Tamandua tetradactyla: one gene and its partner. The protein of the gene in region 1 purifies or fractionates together with the protein of each later gene. This does not show direct contact. Links are inferred from orthologs where the notes say so. Each region holds a gene or a part of one and is shown on either strand. Other genes may lie near its edges.

Region 1 (10,582 bases):
GGAATTAGGCAGTCAGGAAAGGGAGAAGGCAGAGAATGGAAAAAAAAAGAAGCCAAATTGCAAGGAAAGATGGTGGAAAAAATTCAGACATAAAGAGCCAGATTCAGAACCAGAGCCAAAGGTCAGGGAGACAGTGTTTCTGGGTATAATACTTTTGTGTGAACACTTTGAGACCCAGCTATTCTGGAAGCATTTGTGCACCCTTGGGAAAAAATGGCTCCAGGAAAGTCTGCTGGAGTCTGTAACACCTTGGGGCATAGGCAAGCCTGATGGGGAATTCCTCTACTAGTATGTCATTCTGAGCAGAGGCACTAAGCTTTCTCATTTTAAAGCAGACCCTCAAGCCTGCCAGGCATCAGGAAGACCAATACCATCACGAGTTGTAGAAAGAAACCGGGACTGTTTAGAGCACAGACCTCAAGTAGCAGCATCCAACAGCAGCCAGCAAAGATCTCTGAGCATCTGTAAAACATAACCTGGGGGTTCAAGAAATAGTGCAGGGGTTGAGAACCCTACATATGCAAGTGAAAACAGTGCGGGGAGAACATCTGGGCATTTATGTGAGTTGGACCTCATTTACAGCTTCAGTTAACAAATGTGCAAAAGTCACTACCTCTATGTGTATGCCATAGAGTGACTAAGAAGAAAATGAACTTTATAACTACAGCATTCCCTGTAAATAGTCATGGTTTTAAGGACTTTTAAACATGTTCAAATTTAAGACTTGAAGCATCTCCACTTATCTATAGAGATAGAGGGGTTTTTTTTTAACAGTAAAAGCCACTTTCATATACCTACACTTTTATAAAGAGTCATACTGATTCTACAGGAAACATTGCTAAATGTTCTTACACTCCACTGACGGGCATAAGCCAGAGTGAACTTTGATATTCTCTGCTTATATGCTACATTGATTTCAGCTAAAGCAAGACTCTGAGGACAATGTTTGATAATGAGATTTGAAGCTCACTACAATTAATGCTACATATATATATTGGTCTCATCACAGTACTTGACCCATTATTTTGTACCTGGTAGCTGCTAAAAAAATATGGATTAAGTAATGAATAGAGAAAGAAAGTGAAGTTATTAGAAAGTTCTCAACTTAATCCAAGTGAAGAAACTTGTTAGAATTTATAGTAAAGAGAGGTAAAAAGTTCAGAAAATAATTATGCTGGACACTTAGAGATTAATATTAGAAGACCATGAAATGGGCCAAAGATTTTGAGCCACGAATAGTAGCTGTTGTTTTATCATATAGCATAATGGGGATTTAGAAACTGGGAAGATTTAGACGTAATTAAGACAGAGATCCTGGTAAAACTGAAGTTCATAATTTTTTAAATCGCTGATTTCATTTTTTTGATGTATAAATAAAGCATACTGGGGTCTGTCAGTCAAGAAAATGCTAATGGCAAAATTGGCTTTGCTTGACATTTTGATGTTAAACATTTGATATGTGTTTCCACCTAAAAGGACAGATTCCAATCTAAATGGCACAATGAAAATTATTCCAAATAAAATGAAGTGCCATCCATGAGAAGCACTAAAATTTAAACTGTAGAACGATTGGCTTAAGGTAAGAATAAAAGCAACCAAAAGAATCATAAAGTGTGTAACCTTGACAGAGGACTTTGAGAAGAAAATATCATCTGGAGAGAAATTGTGAGTCCATCAAACTGAAGAAGACCCTTTTATTGAGTTAAAATTAGGTCTCATAGACTCTGAACTGGAGTCAGGCCATGCAAAGCTAAAGGCACTTGCAAGTTGAAGTTACAGGGCAGTGGAAATGATGAGTAATTAACACGGAAGAAGTCAGTCTACAGTGAGGAGAATGCAGCAGGCACACGCAAGGAGGCAGAGCCAGGAAATCAGGCAATCACTAAAAGTGGTACACAGTGAACTGTGTTCTTCTCTTTCTAGTCTCGACTTCCAAGACCCTGAGACCAGATTGTAATCCATGTTTCTGTTTTCTTTGAAATTTCCTCAAATCCTTTCCTTTAACTCAACTCTGACTTAGGCTAGTTTAAGTGAGGTGCTTTGTCTGTTTTCCTTCTTACAAACACCAGGTCTCTAAGAGGAGCATCTTTTTCCAGAGAGAACAGAAAGCAGATAGCCACGCAACTGGTTTGATACATTATATGATACATTTCTTTAAAAAAATCTGACGTTCTTATGAATAAAGTTTCCCCTTTAGTTGAGCTCTTCATGTTCTAAGAAATAAATGACTTGACTTCTGCCATGGTTAAGTTTATGTGTCAATTTGGCAAGATTATGGTGTCCAGTTGTTTGGCCAAGCAAACCCTGGCCTGATTGGTACAGTGAGAGTATTTGGAGGATTTAAATAATCAGTCAGTTGAGTCCATCTATAGCTGATTGCATCTACAATCAACAAAGGAGATTGCCTTTAGCCACAAGAGAAGTTTCATCAGATTATTTGAAGTCCCTAAAGGGAGAACTGCTGGTTTTAGCAGTCAGAAAGATGAATTTCTATCTCAACTTCATCCAGCTCATCAGAGTTCCCAACTGTGGCCTGGACTAGCCAATCTCCATAGTCATATGAGCCAATTCCTATAATAAATGTATGTATATATATATGTGTGTGTGTATATATATATATATATATATATATATATATATATAAAATGTAAGTATGTGTATATATGTCAGTTCTGTTTCACTGCAGAACCCTGAATAATACAACTTCTTTTTTTCTGGTTCATCTCAATAAGTTAAGACATTATTTATGAGTTGAACAAATGCATTTATTCACCAGTTGAACAAACATTTATAGCGAATGTAATCTGTATCAGGCCTTGTGAGAAGACTATAAGTAAAAGAAGTCAATGAGATCTATTCACTATACTTAAGGATTTCCCATAGGAGAAAGACATGTCTTAAAGAGAGCCTGCTACAAGTGATAGAAACCAGCTTAAAGTAGCAGAAGAGAGAAATAAAAATTATCCAGAGGAAACGGGCATTTCATGAAGCTAAAGGTAGGGAGTTAAGCCTGGTCTCACGTGTGACTGGAAACATAATTAATTCCCCAATCCCTCTCTTCTGTGTGTGTGTATCAGTGTGTGTGTGTGGGGGGGGCTGGCTGTCTCTCCACAGCTCCGTGTTCCCTCATCTCATCTTTCTGTGAATAGCTGCATATAGACTTTCTCTATGCTCTTGGAAAAAAATAGTTGCTGCAGATCAACATGAATTCCCAGTCCATGTGCCCAATGAAGACTCTGGAATTTCTATACCCTGAAAATATTGAGCCCCCTGCCCCAACAAAACACCTGCTTAGAGCTTAGAGAAAGAAAGGAGTGGAAAGACGAAGGTCTCACTCCATCCCCTGGTGGATCTCAGAGTTTGGTCCTTGGATGACTGTAACACCTATCAGGTGGGCAATGAGGTCTAAAAATATTTTCATAAGAATACTGAGATGTTATTTGCTTTTCTCACTGGGTAGATATTTGTCCTAATGGTGCGAGAATAGTCATGGGTACTAGTAATCATTGTTGTCTCTACCCTTGGACACTTAGAGTATGAGAGAAAGAGAGGATGAAAGGAAGAGAGGACGAAAGAAAAGAAGGAATAAGGGTGGTAGGAAGACAGGAAGAAGGTAGGAAAGATGGAAGGAAGGAAGAAAGGAAGGAAAGAAGTTTCCTTTCAGTCAAGAATGTCTTTGATGAAACAATTAAAAATTACTTTTATTAAATTTTGACCTTTGAAAATATGTCTTTTTAACATTCTTAATCCTTGAATCTGAGAAGAGTACATAAAATGCACTTCTGCTGTACACTGAAGCAGGATGGTTGTCCGAGGATGTGTAAGCTGAACTGGCCACTTTTTCCATGGAACACCATTTTTACTTAAAAGAATGACTGAGAGGCAAAGTATGGTTATTTAGACTTGCGTATTTGATGGGCATTTCCTGAAAATGAGCAAAGTGGGCTTGTCATTTCAAGCAACACAACTGACAGGATTTGTTGCCAATAATAAAATTCAAGCTTTCAGGTGAAAATTCAAATTTTGGAAAATACATATCCACCAGCATGAGTAGATTGAGAGCTTCCTTATACTTAAAGACTTTTCAGACTAGATTGATGATGATAAAAAAAATGATATTTTGATATTGTGTAATAAATGTGCCAACAATTGGAAGATCTGCATAACTCGTGAATCAATATTTTCCAAATGACCAATGAATGATGTCACAAAATTTTGTACAGACAAAAGATCAATTTAAGATGCTCAATATGCCAATGAATTTTAATGCAACAGAGTACAATCAAATAATTGACATTATTTCAGATCCACATTTAACTAGTTTTTAGAAACTAACACTATTTTTTTTATTCCCTACTCAGAATGTGGTATTCAGCATAAACACACCTAGAAAGGAGAAATCCCAGGAAGAGTAAGGCCATGGAGTTCTTAAACTCTTTGGTCTAAGGAATGCTTTACACTCAAAGTAAGATAAGAATTTGTGCTTTGTTTTTTAGAACTTTTGCCTGCACTGGAAAATGTTGCTCTTAATTTATTCTGCACCTCATGCTAGAGTAATATTAATTTGCCCAGTTCTGGTCATAAAAGTAAAGAACGGTGCCTTTTCCTCTCCAGCACCCAGAGACAAAGCATAAGTTCCAGCCCGTCCCCTCCCCCATTAAGGGAACCTATCCTGCCTCTCAAACCAGGGTCTGTTCCTAACACATGCTCACATTTCAGTGAGTCAGAAGGAAACAGACAGATATTCATCTCCCTTAAACCTGGCTGACTTCCCTCAAGAAGTCCGTGAATAGATCAAGGTTGTGTGTGTGTCAAGGTTAGTGAGCAGCCAGCTAGGAGCTCTCAGGTGATAGCTGGAATCTTCGTAAGCAGGTGTGTCCACAGACAGGTCAGGAAAATAAAATAGCTTTAAGTGTGTCAGGATTAGTAAGTAGCATTAGTAAGAAACAGGAAAGAACCTGGGGCTATAAACTTTGTGGTTGAAAGGCATCCAGGTTTAGGTTTTATTCACAAGCAGTGGCCCCTGATAAGTACTGCTTTAATACTTTAAAATACCAGACTCCAGCTGTTGCTACGACAAAAGGGCAAATTTTATTTTTACTGATTAACTCATTTTTATGTGCTTCCCATCATGAACCCCTTCACTTCAGTGTAGCAGGATCTCAGGCATTCCATCCTTTTCATAGCAGATGCTCCATAAAGATTTGCAGCGGTGGAAACAGTAATGAATAGACTAACAACTCCCTAGTTTAATTATTAAAACATCCCATTGCTTCATCAAAGTAACTGAGAGAATTCTGGTTTCAGCAACGTGCTGGGAATTTGTGGCTGAAACTTTAGAGGAAAACCAGATTTTGAGAAGAAACGCAAATATTCCATTTTCTTAAGTTTATAAGTAATAATCTCAGGTATGATTCTAGAACGTTCTTTTTCCACATCTAAGACTGAAACAATGGAAGAAAATGGTCACATGTAATTCCGACAAAGAAGGGTCATGAGTTCATGTGCAGATTCTCGTCCCTCTCTGTCTTGAAGCAAATCGCTTAAACTCAACAATCAAATCAGCTCCTCCTTTATCTCGAAGGAGTAGAACGATGATTCTCTCTCTCTCTCTCTCTCTCTCTCTCTCTCTCTCTCTCTCTCTCTCTCTCTCTCTCTCTCTCTCTCTCTCACACACACACACACACACACACACACACACACACACACACACGTTGCTCTTACTTAAATATCACGTCGGGTAATCCTAACTCGTGTGCAAAGCTTTACCCTGGGGAGTTAGTTTCTAACCTGGTCATTCTGCATTAATTTTTGTCCGGCTGGAAAAAGCAGTGAAGCCTCTCAGAACTCGCTAGGGTGTTCGTGGGTCCCAAGCCCCTCCCAATTGCTGCCAGCTCCGCTGGGCACCCGGGGGCAGAGCTCGGGCCGTCAGGGGGCGGGGGAGTGACAGGGCTGGATTTCCCCGTCGGAAGTGCGGGGGCCAAGTCCGGTCCAGTGCGAAAAAGGTTGACAGGCGTGTCGTCCTCATCTCCACCCGCTTCCGGGCTCCCGGGGTGGAACCCAGTAAGGGAGGTAAGGTGTGGCTCCCCGGGATCTGGAGAAGCCGAGGTGCAGCCCGCGGGGCGGGAGGCGGCAGGGGGAGGGGGGCCTCGGCGGGGCGGGGCCCGGGCAGATCCAGTGTTTGCCCGGACGGGAGGGGCGGGCCGGGGCGGGCCCTTGGCGCCCCTGGAGCTGCCCGGCAACTTTTCCCTGCTTTCACCCGGGCAAGGAAGAGACACCCTCGAACGGTTCCTGGGGAGTCTCCGGATTCTTGCAGCCCTCAGCCAAAGCCACCCTTGCAAACCCAGAGCAGCTACTCCCCCCCCGCCCCGCCCGGGTAAACTCAGGATGCGGCCGGGACGGACTGCGGGCGCGCCCCTGCCGCTGCGGCTATTGGTGCTCAGTCAAGGTAAGCGTGATCAGCATCCGCTGCAAGAGTGAGGTGTGGGTTCCGGGGGTGGGGAGTGTGAGGGAGAGATTATTGGGGACGAGGCAGCAAGCGGGTGAGACCCGGCTCTGATTTCTCGTGGCCCAGGCTCCCAGCCATCCAGAGCGGGTTGGAAAAGAGATCCCCCGTTCCCACTAGCCAGGGATCTCGCGTCCCCATAAGACGTATCTCACCCTAAGGCATTTCAGTGAACACTGTGGTTTTAGGAACTCGCGTGAGCACATATACATGGAGGGTGTGGGGATGATGGGGGTGTCTTGGAGACCGCGAGTCCTGCAGCCTGTCCCCACCCCTGCTCAGACAGGTGTCTCTCCGGCCCAGTAGCCCGCCCGGGTTCCTGTGGCTCCCCGGAATCCCGTCCCCGATGTCCCCTTCACCCTGCAGCACCTCAGCGCAATTCCTGGTGGCTTTCCAGAGAGACTTGGAGTCCAGCACGCTGATTTTTCAAGTGCTCTCCCAAGGGAATGAATAATGCCTCCATTTCTCATTTGAGGAAGCAACGCTGGCATTTCCTTCCATAGGGAGCCTAGATAAACCAAGTGCCTTTTTAAATACTTGGCTGAGGGTAGCTCCTCCAGCCCTTCTGCCTTCCTCTAATTGTTGCAGTGTCTTCTGTTCACGAATGTAAACTTAGGCCAGGAAAAGTTCTTTTGACTTTGTCGATCTCTGAGGCCGCAGGGAGAGGGGGAAGGGATCAACCCGAGCTCCAACCGCAGTGGTGGGAGTGGGGCTCCCGCACCGTCTCGCTTCTTTCGCTGCGTGCGCGGCTGCTGTGCGATTGTCTGCAGGACCTTCTCCTGCGTTGATCGGAGCCCAGCGTGTGCTTATGTTTAAGAACTTTGGTTTACTTGGAAGGACACTGCTCACATTTGTATCTTGTAGTTTGAACAGCTAACATGCATACACACACGCACGCACATACACACACACCTCTGATTTTGAAGTGTTTTTTCAAAGATGGCCTTTTGGGGCTTACTTTCAGCCAGTCCATATTTCTCATTGTGGAAGAAACTTGGTTCCAATCCTGCGGCTATTTTTCTAGGTCAGAGATAAGAGAGAAATAACGCACACAACACACACCCACTCCCTTCCTTTCCAAACTGAATGGGGACAATTAGGTTTTCTGTCTGACCCTGTGACTGGTGCTTCATAGATATTCTCTCCTGGGATCATTATTTCCAAATGTGTGTGCTTGGAATTTCAGTGCAAATACACCTGCATAAATCCTTGGGAATTTCTTGAGCAATTCTAGTATTATTATTTCGGGTTTGTGATTGTCGGGCAATTCTTGTATTAATATTTTGATTTTGTTACTATTGAATTTGGCATTTTCATTATGTTTTCTCTCTTTTCTCTTCCCTCTTTCTTTCTTTCAGCTCATGCATTATTATTTGGTTATTTGGCCAGACTTCTTTCATGAGTAGTGTGGAGATGAGAAAGGATGGAAGCCCTATGTCAAAGGAAAGATGGGAAGGGATATGGACCAGAGAATAAAAAGGCAACAGGTTATCATGTCCCCCAGGTTATGATTTGAAGACAGTCACACTCAGATTAACATTATACATTTCCACATGTTAATATTTATAGTATTCACTTACATTGAAAGGTTAGTTTGTAGGGCTCTGGGAGAGATTGGAGGGAATGTCTTTGATGGAATTCATGTCAGTCTTATCCTAAACACTGGAAATACATACAAAAGAGCTTTTTGGGGGGGGGGGGGCATCAACTCTAACCTAGGGATTTCAGATAAAGTAGAATTTTATATTGAAAATCATCACTATAAGATCACTTTCTTCTTATATCATCACTGTCTCAAGAGCCAGTAGAAAAATAAATCTAAGCTTTTCATTTCTTTTAATTACCCAGTATTAAAAGAAACTATGGAAATATAACATCATTTTCTTATCGTTGAAGTGTTGAGGCTTGTTCTTTAAAGAGCAGTGAGTGGAATGTGTTGCTGCCAGGCAGGTAGTCAGGTTCAGAGATTTTAGCCTGGAGTTAGTTAATAAGAACAACTCATCGCAAACAGAGGTGATTTAAAATGACATCTGAAAAAGTAATTCATGTATTTTTTCCCTCATTCCACTCCATATATTGACATACTTGAGGAACAGGTTTTTCTTACTTCAAAAGGATTATTATAAAACTTGTCATTTGTGTTATTAATTGAGGTGCCTAGAACAGCAGCAGCATTTTTTGAATGCCATAATTATCTGAGAATAAATGAAATAGCTCAATCAGTGGTATCTGCATTTTTTCATGGTTAAACCTATTTGTATAAATATTTTAGCATTTATCATTACTATACACACGTGTAATTGTTTGTATTTCTACATATTGTACATGTACAACAGTGTTATAAACAGATACCAAAATTTAAAAGCATACGTCTGTGTTTTTACATCTAGCATCTTCTCCGTCATACGTGCAAACTACTTTAGAAACACATGACCCTCAAATCACATTTTAAATCTTAGATTCAAACTCGCTTTCCATAAATCTTCTCACAGGTGTTTAAGAAAAAGCAGTACTCACAATTTAGTTGTATCACCTTTGATTGGTTGTTCTTTAAGTGCTCATAATCACTGGCAAGTTAAGGATGGAAGACACCATAAGATGTCTAGATATTCTGTAAACTAAATTATAGACCCACAGAACAAAGGTAAATGTGCTTTTAAAATACATGGCATCACTTACATTCTCTAGTGTTTTGCTTGGCTAAGGATAATCCTACCTGGATTCTGAATCTACCCTACCTAATCAGTCATCCCTTTTTTTTTTCTTTTCTTTTTGCCTGGGCAGATTCCGGGAATCAAACCCGGGACTCCAGCACAGCAGATGAGAATTCTGCCACTGAGCCACTGCTGTCTGCTCTAGTCATCCCTTTTTAAAAGTAGTATCTTCATATTCTCTCTAATGTAATTTCTCCTTGCTGTGTAAATACTCTAATCTCATAGTGAGAAAAAAAGTCTTTGTTTTATATTTAATTGTTTGGCGACTCTTTTCTTCTGAAGCAAACTCCACTTCCAGCTTCTGTTAGCTCTCAGATTTTCTCCTGCTGTCCTGGAAGTTCTTTCTTAGTCTCCATCAGCGACTCAATTGTTTGGTCTATTCCTTTTTAGTGTATGCAGAGCTACGAACAATTTTCTCTGAGCAAGTACCCCTCTCAAGTGTATATATCCGGTCAGAGTCCTCTCCTGAGCTTCAGATCTGTATTTCCATCTGTTACTAAATATCTCTACCTAGATGTCTTGTAAGCACTTCCATCTCAACATTTCCTAAACTGATTTCACACTAGCCCTCTGGAATTTTCTCCTATACCATCTACTAATGTTTAACAGCAGTGTTATTATGTAAACACTAAAGCCAGCAACCTTTTCTCTTGCTTTCAACCTCATTTTACCACACTCACTTTGTGTATATCCAGGCTATTACGGTTTTTAAATTGGTTTTCCTATTTTTAGTCTCTTATCCCTCCAGACCCTTTTCCTCATTGTCACCAATGTTCTCTTTCTAAAGAACTTATTTGTAGCCAGTCAATGTCTTGCTTCACGCATCACTCTCTTGTTTTATCCTACATGGCTCCCATCCCATGTAGGGTGAAGTCATAATTTCTCGGCATGTCATAAAAAGTCCTTCATCTGGCCACAGCCTGTCTATTCAGTCCTTTCTCCAACACATCCATTCCAGCACACACATACACGTCATAAATACAGTTGCACACACATACACATAGCCCCCAAATTATATATAAATGTCATTCTATGTTTTGACTTCACCTAATCATCCCATATTTATGTTCAAAGATTTTCCAGGCTATTCCATTAACCTTCACTGCGTTGATGCTTTTCCTTTTTCTGCATTTTCTGTGAGATACCTTTGAAGGTATGGCCAAAAGATTCTTTAGGTTTCACTGAGCAGCCCAGTCCTGTATTCAAAGGTGGCAATTTGGTCAGGGAATGGGCCCATATTGTTTGGGATGGGAATGGGGAATGAGAAGGAGCCGGAGACAGAAGGCAATAAGAAGAGTGAAGTCAGTTCTTGTGTTTTTTATGCCTCACACAAAACGTGAATTCTCAGGTTTTCATCTGAATG
Region 2 (10,889 bases), on another chromosome or scaffold:
AACTTCCATGGCTAGTAAGTGGCAAAAACAGCTCATTCTGCCTCAAGACTATTGCTCCTTTTGGCATATAGTCAAACCTTAATAGAACCTACCAGTTGGCATCCAGTGTTTAAATGGCAGGATAAAGACATAGCTGACCCCTTCCATGCTGTCCTCTAGAAACATGAGACAGAGCTGAAGGATGATAAGTTATCTCAGCAGACCGCGAGGCAAGTAGAGGTGTAAGATGGTGCTTGATGCAAACTTGGACCCTACCCAGTATTTTTATCAGCAAGAAATCTAATGTTCCAATGTTTCATAGGTTGGTATGCTGGTTTGAAAGGATTATGCACCCTAGAAGAGCCATGCTTTAATCCTGATCCATCTTGTGGTGGCAGGTTCTTTTCATCCCTATTCAATGCTGTAGGCTGAAAACTTGATTAGGTTATCTCCATAAGGATGTGACTTGTCCAATTGTGGGTATTAACCTTGGATTAGAGGGAGATGTGACCCCACCCATTCCAGGTAGGCTCTTGATTAGTTTAATGGAATCCTTTAAAAGAGGAAGCATTTTGGAGGGTGCATGGGTAGTTCAGTGGTTAGAATGCCCACCTTTCATGCAGGAGACCTGGGTTCAATTCCCGGACCATGGACGCCCCGCCTCCCCACCAAAAAGAAGCATTTTGGGAAAGTCTTGAGATTCCAAGAGAGTAAAGCCATGAGGTGAGAGCCTCATGCAGCCAGAGACCTTTGGAGATGAAGAAGGAAAATGCCCCAGGGAGGGAGGTGGGGAGTTTCATGAAACAAGAAGCCTGAAGAGAAAGCCTGCAGATGCTGCCATGTTCACATGTGCACTTCCAGTTGACAGAAAAACCCTGAACTTCATCGGCCTTTCTTGAGTGAAGTGAACCTTGGTGCCTTAATTTGGACATTTTTATAGATATACTTTAATTGGGACATTTTCATGGCCTTAGAACTGTAACTTAGCAACTTAATAAATTCCCCTTTTTAAAAGTCACTCCATTTCTGGTACGTCGCATTCTGGCAGCTAGCAAACTACAACAGTTGGGGAATACCATCCAGCAGCCCAAGTCTGACACTTTCAATGGAAAAAAAAAAACATGTTTTACATTTGGGACTTAAGGAAAATGATTTCTGATAAATTTGAGAAGAATCAAAGAAAAGCAATAACCTCTGATGTGCTTTTCACCCTCTTGTCTTGAGTATATTGTTTTGTGACATCGTGTCCAAGCTTTACTAAATAGACCTTCTCGCTCAGAGTCCCTGTGGTTCTGAGGTGCTACAATTAGGGGTTGCTCTGCAGATGCTGCCAGACAATAAAAAAGGTCAGAAGTCACAGACGTGATTTTGACCCTTTGTCTTCTTCATTTGCTAAACCATGTGTGAAACGGGTGAGAAGGAAGATTCATTATAACCGAACTAATTCACACACAATGAAACTGACAGCACAAGACATTTTAACGGATTCTTTCCCAAGGTGCTACATTAGAAACTTGTCCTGAAAACATTCAGATTTCCATAAGAGGAATTTTATGGGCCCTGTATCTTAACATGCTGGCATATGGACAGTTGGCTTCAGGTCACTGTCCCCCAGCTCCCCACCCACCCCCCGCCCACTCCAGCTATGGGACATGGAAAGGAGGAAAACCACTTGACTCTCTAAGCATTCAGCAAGGGTCGGAGGGCTGATCTGCCTTCCCACGGCCTGCTGGGAGGACAGAATGGAATGAGGTTTGGGTTCTTGCTTTTGGAAGCTGCAGAGGTGATGTCATTAACACTCGGGCAGACGTCAGCAGTAATAACTGCGGGCTCCTTTTGAGTATTCTGCAGCTGATTCATTATCTGACAAGTTCCTCAGGCAGTTCTAAATCTTATCTTAAAATTTCCTGCCACTACTATCATGAAATTTTTTGAAAGCTTGGTTGAAAACCAATCTTCTTTATATTTTTAATAGTACTATCTTAAAACTAATATCACTACATCCTGTGATGCTTTGAGCTGAGTTCCGATCATTTCAGTAGACATGCAATTATAAAAAGCCACTTGTTACAACTTGCATTTAGATTGTCTTTAAACAATCAAGCTGGAAGCCTTTCTCTACTGCTTTTTGTTCAATTAGCCCTCACAATTGTTCTAAATTAGTAGCATTGCATAAGAATCTTGTCAGCATCACTTGGACAACAAAAAAATGGAGGAAACTGGAGAACCAAGCCTGCGATGTTACCACTGGGATAACCTGAAACCTCTACTGGTAATCTCCAATCTTTTGAAAAAACCAGAAATGAGGAGTGTGCAGGGATGCTGAGTGTTTGGGAAAGAGAGGATGAGTGAGTGAGGCTTGGAAAGAGCCCACATTGAAAATCCAGCTGCAGCAGCAGCAGCGGCAGCCACCAACAAAACAGCAGTGCTGTTGGTGAGCTAAGTAAGCACTGCCTTCATAGAAACCATACCATCGGCCATCTTGGGAAAGAGAAAAACGATGGGTTTACCTGCTTTAAAAAGAAAAAGAAAGCCAACTCTTCCCAGAAGAGGCTAGCAGTAGATTTTCTGACTTTTGGCTGGTGCTGAGTGGAATGATGGGTTTGGGAGAGGAGGAGGGACCGGGTTCAGCTGTGGTGCTTTGTTGTAAAAGGCAGCTTGGCCTTTGCTAGTCTGAAGAAAGATGGAGCCTGGATTTCAGGCTCACTTTCGGTGAACCTTTGCCACACAGTACAGTCCACGTGCAGGCTAGAAGGAGGGGGAGGGATTCTCTTCAGTCTGAGAATGAGTGTGTGAGAGTGAGGTGGCATCCACATCCTCGACTTCAAGTCATTGCAGTTTCTTTTTTTTTTCCTAGAAACAAAAAAATGGGGTGTGTGGGGGTAAGACGTTGCATTTCATAAAACTGACTGAAATTCTGTCTACTGATGCAGTACAAGAGATGTTAAAAAAAAAAGGGGGGGGAAGATGCTCTTGAAGTTTTTTGGATTTCATTTCGTTTAGTTTCTAAATTATTATCTTTTAGGGATAACATTGACAAATGGTCAGAGCTCCCATCCTGATATTTTCATCGAGGCATCTTTCCTAAATATGGTTCAACTATGAATGTAGAATGTGGGTGGGGGGAGAGAAAAAGAAAACTCTGGAGTTCAAGGATATAGAAAAAATTAGAACACAATTGTTACAAATAAAGACTGCCGACTTCAAAAACAAAAGCCGCAACCCAAACAAAACAAAAGTTTAATGCTTAGAATTGGCAGCACAAAAGGAGATCTCTCTCCTGACTTTGTATGATGCATGGCAGTCTGAATGCTCACAGAAAATGGTGCCAAAGAGTTTAGGAAACAAATATAAAATAAAAGAAAATGTGCATATGCATAAGCAAAACAGCAAGTTTCAGGTAAGTATTTTGGATTGCAAACAAAGATAAATTTAATGTTCAAACCATCTGATAAAATAGCCATTTGGAAACCAAAAAAAAAAAAAAACAAGAACCTTGTAAACATCTAGTTTCTTGCTATTCAATAGGATTAATTTCAGTAATTTTGCTACCAAGTTGTCCCGCTGGCAACACAAAGCCATGGGGCCAACACCAGGCATGGATGGGAGAACAAATATACCAATGAAGGACTGGTCTTTATAAGTGTGCAACTGAATGAGGGCAAAAGGTACCCTGCTCCTTAGCTGGGGAGTCACCAAAGACACCCAGTGGAAAATAAATCCATCAAGTGGCCTGGGGAGAAAACTACCTGGAAAGCCTGCCCTACTCCCTGTAATTTCCTAAGGATTCTGTCGTGGTGTTTTTCATTGCACATTACACAGTGTGCCTCAGAATCCCCAATACCTTTCTGCAGGCGAGAAAGGACAGGCAGCAGTCAGACCCACAGTTGTTTAAATAACTATAAATGAGCCGGTTTAGTCATTTAAACAGAGAGCTGTGCTAAAGAATGTCATAATATCTGTCAGAACACCAGTTTGTGGTTTTCAAAAAGGACAGATGGGTGCGGGCTGAAAACATGGCATAGCCTCTCAGAAAGAACTGACATGGCCAGGCAGGCGGCACAACCACAAGTCCTGATGATTATCAGTTGCCTGGCCACTCCCTACAATATGAGCCAGTGTCTGTCCTCTAAGAGAATATCTGAAAATAAAGCAGCATTTAGTGTACGGCTTGAGAGTTCCCTCCGCACGGGACGGCTGCGGCAGTGTGCCAGGAGGACCACCCGTCAAGGATGGGAGGCCCCAGCCCAGCTCTGCCACTGGCTCACTTTCTGGGAGACAAGGGCACGTCCGGCAAATGCTCTGGGTCTCTGGGTCCTCATTCCTAACAGCAAGAACAATAGGAGCCCATCTGCCTTGCAGAATGGAGGAGAGGATGAAGAAATCCAATCCAAAAGTATGCACTGGGCTCACAGTGTCCCCAGAAGCATAGGTGAGTAGGTGGGGGTGGGGGGCGAGACGGAAGTGGGTAAGAAGTAGGGTCTGGCCTGGACCATTTCACAATCTATTTGGGAGGAGAGAGGGCATGTGAAATAATGGCAAACCATGTGACAGTATCTGGGCAAGCACTCAGCTATGAACTATAACCTACAATTCCTCCAGGACTTGACAGCAAGGGAGGGTGCCAGGGATCCTGAAGGGGGAGGAGGGTTTGGTTTGGCAAAGGAGGGAAGAAGGACAGATATTCCTCGCGAGAGCAGGTAGGTTGATGGAAACCTGAAGACAGCAATGAGCAGGGCTTGTTCATGAGGTAGGCAGAAAGCTCAAGAAGAGCCGTGCAAAGTTAAATACAAACGAAAAAAAAAGAAGAGCCATGGGAAATGATTGTAGAGGTCGGATGAAACCAGAAAGAGGCAACAATGAGACCAGACAGAGGAGGTGATCCAGGAACAAAAAGAAACTTTATTTTCTCTTTATTTCCTTATTTCTCATCCACAGGGTTCCAGGAGGTTTTCAAGGTGTGTAAGGAAGGTCAGTCTGGCAGTAGCATGAAAGCTGTTCAGATGACCCGCTGTGTCCAATTCGTCAAAAGTGTTTGAACCAGAGTGACTACGAGAACGTCTTCTCTGTTTGAAAGATGAATTTTACACTGATACATTTTTTTTTTTTTGCTTTTCTCTATTGGGGAGTCACGTCAAGAGCATTCTGAATGCAGTTGACTTTTAATAACTACTGTGATATTTTTACACTGTGCAGTTACTCACGAAGCCTGTATTTTGAGTGTAGTTTTCTTGATTCTTCTCATTTAGATAGGACATCCATTTCTGCTCTACATTTAGCAATAAATGTTCGACATTGGGTCCCCTTAATTGTTTTTTACACGTGAAGCTCTGAAGCTGGGAAGGCAGAAGTGGTTGTAGAGTTCATCCATCCTTATTTGAATCAATGCATTAGTTTTCTGAACTTTAGCTGTCGGTTCTTAGCCGCAAGGTGAAATTCCAGCTAAATACACTAGATGGCAGGCAATAACTACATTCTGCTCATTCCATTCTATATTAAAACAACAACAAAAAAACGAAAGCCTCAATATGGAAAACTAAGCACAGCGACCCACAGTCTTTTGTCCCCTGACCTCAGGTAAGAAAACTCAAATTTTTATGCCCAGCATCTGTCTGCACCGCACTGAAAAAGTGGGGGGCATATTTTCAGACTATTAAGACGGTAGTCTCCTTTTTTCTTTTTTTGTTTGCTTGTTTTCATGGGATTTTTTGTTGTTATTGTTTAATTGATTTTCTCTTTAGTGTTTTGTCCAAGGTAGAAAAGAAACCCAGAAATGTGGAGGGAACAGATAATGAAAGTGGAGATGATGGCATTATGAAGTGAGATTATACTGACTATAATGCACTAATTTTTTGTTTTTACAAGGTAGGGGTAGGTACATTGGGGATGAAAAAGGCAGTGGGACTTGGAACTAGAAAGTGTAAGGTATGATTAGGATGACTAGCAATGGCTAAAAGCCACACAGCATGATCACCAAAGAACCCTTGACAGGATCCCAGAAATCTCCTGGCAGTCCAGGGCTCAGAAACGCTACTAAAAGTTACTTTAAACATCTACTTTATGCCTCTGTATAGGACCATACTTAAATCAGATTAGTAGGGAAAAGCCCAAATTACACTTCAAACCTGCCTCCAATATTGAATTGCTTTGCATCGTGGATTATTATTTGTTTTAAATAACAAATCCACTGAGTGCCTATTTTGTGCACCATGCTCTACAGTGAGTTCCCTTATATTGAAGTAATAGAAATGTAATAACTATCATCTCCACCCTAAAGGAGTCTAAAACCTATGAAGCCCGTGAGACTTCTGCATATTTTTAATATTCTAACAATAGTCAATGTCCTTCTATTCATTCTCCAGTTATATTTCGAAAGTATCATAGTTTTATTTGAGCATGAAATTTGGGTGATATTCCGTTAACAATTCCCCTGATAAAGTCTCTGATATTTTTACACATCTAGTTTGAAATGTCACCAAGAAAGCTATCCATTTAAAGCTAGTTAGATCCTATTCCAAAGATTTCTTATTTCTGCACATTTCCTTAAATCTCTGGTCATTCCGAATAACCTGGAGGTTTTGAATGGCCATCTTCGCTAGGAAAAAACTGATGGATTTATTTAGAGTTATGTTTCTGCAAGATAGGCCATTGTATAGGTTTGCTCTCTCCCCGGAACTTCCTCTCCTCGTCGCGCTCTCCATATTTAAAGTGGGATGAACTGTTCCTTTGCGTAACAGCAGGCAGCGTTGGGTCCTAATAAACGAATCGCCGAGGGGCAGCATAGCGTGGTGGGCGCCCACTGCCCCTGCCATCCGCCCCATTCAGTGGCGCCTCGCTTGCTTGCTCTGTTTAAGTGCAGCCCAGCTCCTCGCAGTTTTGGGGACAATCACACGTGGTAGCGAAGCAGGGCTTCGGAGAACAGCCGCGGGACTACAGCGAGGGAGACCGCGCCGGCTGCGAGGCGGAGCCAGGCGGGCTGCTGGGCGGAGCTAGGCGGCGTTCCCGGGCTAAGCTGCCACGTCTCCCAGGCCGCGGCCACCCCCCTTCCCCCTTTCTGGGTCCCGGGGTCCGGCGAGGGAGGGAGGGGAGACCACTCTGTGAAGATCACGTCTTCCCTTAGGGGCTGAGTAAAAGCACCCTGAGGATGCAACCGCCTTAATCATTGCCTTTCACCATTTTCAGGACAGAAACTATAGCGGCCGCCAGGGGTATAAGGTTTTTGTTAGTGAAATTTCACTTTCCGGTGTTCCCGGGGAAGCCAGGCTTCTGTGTGAGCCCCATGACCATATATAGGTAGAAAACTGCAGGACGGGGGGATAAAAAAAAAAAAAAAAAAAAAAAAAAAGAGGACCCGAGGAGCAGCCTGAGTCAGTTGCCTTAAGGATGAGTGATTTTTGCAAGGGTGAGGATGAAATGCGCCTTCAACATACTTTGTTGCTAGCAGGGTTGAGTCTGCAGATGAATCAAGAGACAAATCAGAAAAAGGAAGTGTCGCAAATGCCAGCACACTCACGGAAATCCGAAGGCATAAGAGGTGTTAAACAGTTATTAAAATTCTGGAAGACTGATGAAAGACAGGCATTCCTCAAGCTGGAGGGATTTTTTTTTAAATAACTTACTGTCTGTTTCTATATTTACTTATTTTTTATTTCAAGAAAACAAAAAAAATATGCCGATAGAAACAAACTACCTTAGGATCTAGCACAAAATCTCTGAATCAGAAGCATTGTAGGTTAAAGAAATGCGAATATGGGTTCTAGGCATGAGGTGACCTTGCTGACAAGTCGAAATTATTATGTATGTGTACGATCATAGTTTTGATGTTTGTGACATATTAGTCACTGGCAGACTGAAAAATAGAATAATCAAGAATTTTAACTAGACAGATTTTAAGAGGAGGAAAAGCATGTTTAAAAAGAAGAGTTTCCTAGACTCTTGGATGAATATTTGGAAAAAGAGTTGGGAGCTTTTACGTCTATTTTTGACCCTTCCATTTTGCCAGTTTGAGTATAGCTCTTTCTACCTCATTTTTCCACTAATAAAATAGTAATCATATCTATAGCTACTTAGGTGTTGGTATTCTATTAACATTTTCTGTCGTCATGCCCATAAAGCATTTTGAATCTCTTGGAAGAAATGGATTATCATTTCTAAAAATTTTTCTGTCTCAGCCTATTATCATCTGATAATCAACATTATAAAGCTGTAACATGGAAAATTTAAACATTACAAAACAACCAAAGTGAGCCATAAGCATACTCTTGAATTTCATTTAAAATAACAACAAAAAAAGTAACTATTTTGTGCAAATTAACCAGGGGAGCACCTCTTTGGCAATGCTCTTTAAAACTATCTGAGCAAAATGATGTAAGAAACCAAATAATTACACAGTGAGTTTTTCCTTGTGTAACAGAGGGGAAATACATTTTTCCTCCAAAAAAAGAGTATTTTTCCACGAAATAGACTATCTTTAACTTTTTAATAGATATTCACATTATCCTTATGGAAAATTCAAACAATACAGGAATGCAGAAAGAAAAGCCCGAACAACCCTAAAAACCCACACTTCCCAGATATAATATCCTGCCAGGCCTCTTTCTTAGAATACACACACACATGCAATCATAATATAGATCAGCTTCTGCAATGTGCTTTCTTCACTTAAGGAATGTTGTGTAATTTTACAGATTAATGTGTATAGATCAACCTTATTCTTTTTATTAGCTGCAGCCATGGACTGAAATATAACAATTTATTTAACCCATGGCTTCTAGATGAACTCTATGGTGTTTTCCTATTACAGAAAACCCTGCAGTGAACAGCAGTGAATTTTTGCGTACATGAGCAAGGATTCCCATTAAATAAGTGCTTATACGAGGAATTTTCTGAGTCAAAATCTTACTTTTTTTTTTTTCAAAGTCTTACACTTCTAAAACATTGGTTTAGGTTTTCAAATTGTCCCCCTCCCCCCCCAAAAAAAAATCCTTAGCAGTGTAGGGGTCCACAACAGCCTGAGTGTCCAATGTATGTTGGTGGTAAGGTTTTTGCCAATGTAGTTATTAGAGTAGGTTTTGACATTTTAACCATTATGTTATTATGACCAGAAACAACCTCCTATCCCCTGCAAAAAATGACTCATTTAATCCAAACAATCAGTTCCCCTTCCCTTGGGCTTTCCACCGCAGAGGAATGAATGAGAAACAGTGCCCACTTTATTAACTACACAAGTACACAAGGATATGGAGAGGAGGTAGCATGGTATCGAGCATTTGAGGTAGAGGAGGTGCCGCCCACCCTGCTCAAGCCCAAAGCTAATCTCGCGATTCTCACACACCTTCTAACTGGTCCTGATGCAATGCGGAGCATGCTAGGTACCCCATGCAGAGAGGAAGCGGTCCAGGTCAGATGCAACAAAGAGGAAAGGTGGGCGGGGCGAGGTGGAGCCAATCGTGGGCTCATCCCTCTTACCACCCAGCGTTTCTGCCCACAAATATATATGAAGCAAATTCTCCCTCCCTGGAGGAGAGGCTAAGAAAGGCCAACGGGGCAGGGGGGGGGGGGGTGGAAATAAGTGGCAGAAATTTCCCCTCCCCTACTGTTGTTCCTGTCCATCTTCTCTTCATTATTTAAGTTTTCATGTGTTATTTTTTTCCCTTTATTCACTGGACAGTTCTGTATTATGTAATTCTACTTGTGGTAATTATTTCCTTTTAACAAGGAAATTTGAAACTGTATTTCTCTATGAGAATCAAAGTTCAAACTAGAACAATGCTCACACCTCACTACACCAGTTGGAACCTTTTGGAAACCTTTATTTTTCTCCCCCTCTGTGCTGGTTTGAAATTGCCATGTGCCCAGAAAAGCCATGCTCTTTAACTCTGATTCAGTATTGCTGGGTGGGATCTTTTGATTAAGTTGTTTCCATGGAGATGTGACCCACCCTGTGCTGGTTTGAAAGGATGTATGTCCCCTAGAAAAGCCATGTTTTAATCTAAATCCCCATTTCATAAAGGCAGAATAATCCCTATTCAATACTGTATGTTTGAAACTGTAATCAGATCATCTCCCTGGAGATGTGATTTAATCAAAAGTCGTTGTTAAACTGGTTTAGGTGATGACATGTCTCCACCCATTTGGGTGGGTCTTGATAAGTTTCTGGAATCCTATAAAAGAGGAAACATTTTGGAGCATGAAAGATGCAGAGAGAGCAGAGCAGAATGACATAACCATGAGAAGCAGAGTCCACCAGTCAGCGACCTTTGGAGATGAAGAAGGAACATGCCTCCCAGGGAGCTTCCTGAAACAAGAAGCCGGGAGAAGATGCTAGCAGATGATGCCGTGCTCGCCATATGCCCTCCCAGATGAGAGGGGAACTCTGACTGTGTTCACCATCTGCCTTTCCAGATGAGAGAGAAACCCTGACCATGTTCACCATGTGCCTTCTAATTTGAGAGAGGAACCCTGAACTTCACTGGCCTTCTTGAACCAAGGTGTGTTTCCCTGGATGCTTTAGATTGGACATTTCTATAGACTTGTTTTAACTGGGACATTTTCTTGCCTTAAAACTATAAACTAGCAACTTATTAAATTCCCCTTTTTAAAAGCCATTCTGTTTCAGGTATATTGCATTCCAGCAGCTAGCAAACTAGAACACACCCAAACCTTTTGATTAGGTGGTTTCCATGGAGATATGTCTTCACCCATTCAGGGGGTGTTGCTTATGGGAACCATTTTGGAAACAGCTTCAGTGCCGACAGTGCCCACACAGCCAGAGACCTCTGGACATGCAGAAGGAAAACACCCCTGGGGAAGCCTTACGAAACAAGAAGCCAGGAGAGAAAACTAGCAGACGTCACCATGTGCCTTCTCAGCTGACAGAAGTGTCCAGAAACCAAAGACTCCAGCAAACG

Evidence for each region.
Region 2: the proteins of ITGA2 (region 1) and ITGB1 purify together in Homo sapiens (co-immunoprecipitation; 3 studies listed by BioGRID and IntAct, with this or other methods). This does not show direct contact. The link is inferred for Tamandua tetradactyla from reciprocal best matches to the Homo sapiens genes ITGA2 and ITGB1.

The regions. Positions count from the first base shown.
Region 1 is NC_135335.1:99,080,786-99,091,367, forward strand, and holds the start of ITGA2 (integrin alpha-2), read left to right. Parts: upstream 1-5,990; 5' UTR 5,991-6,072; intron 6,073-6,212; exon of another isoform or gene 6,213-6,268; 5' UTR 6,269-6,387; coding exon 6,388-6,448; intron 6,449-10,582. UniProt on the Homo sapiens protein: Integrin alpha-2/beta-1 is a receptor for laminin, collagen, collagen C-propeptides, fibronectin and E-cadherin. It recognizes the proline-hydroxylated sequence G-F-P-G-E-R in collagen.
Region 2 is NC_135327.1:218,123,548-218,134,436, forward strand, and holds the start of ITGB1 (integrin beta-1), read left to right. Parts: upstream 1-5,531; 5' UTR 5,532-5,556; intron 5,557-10,889.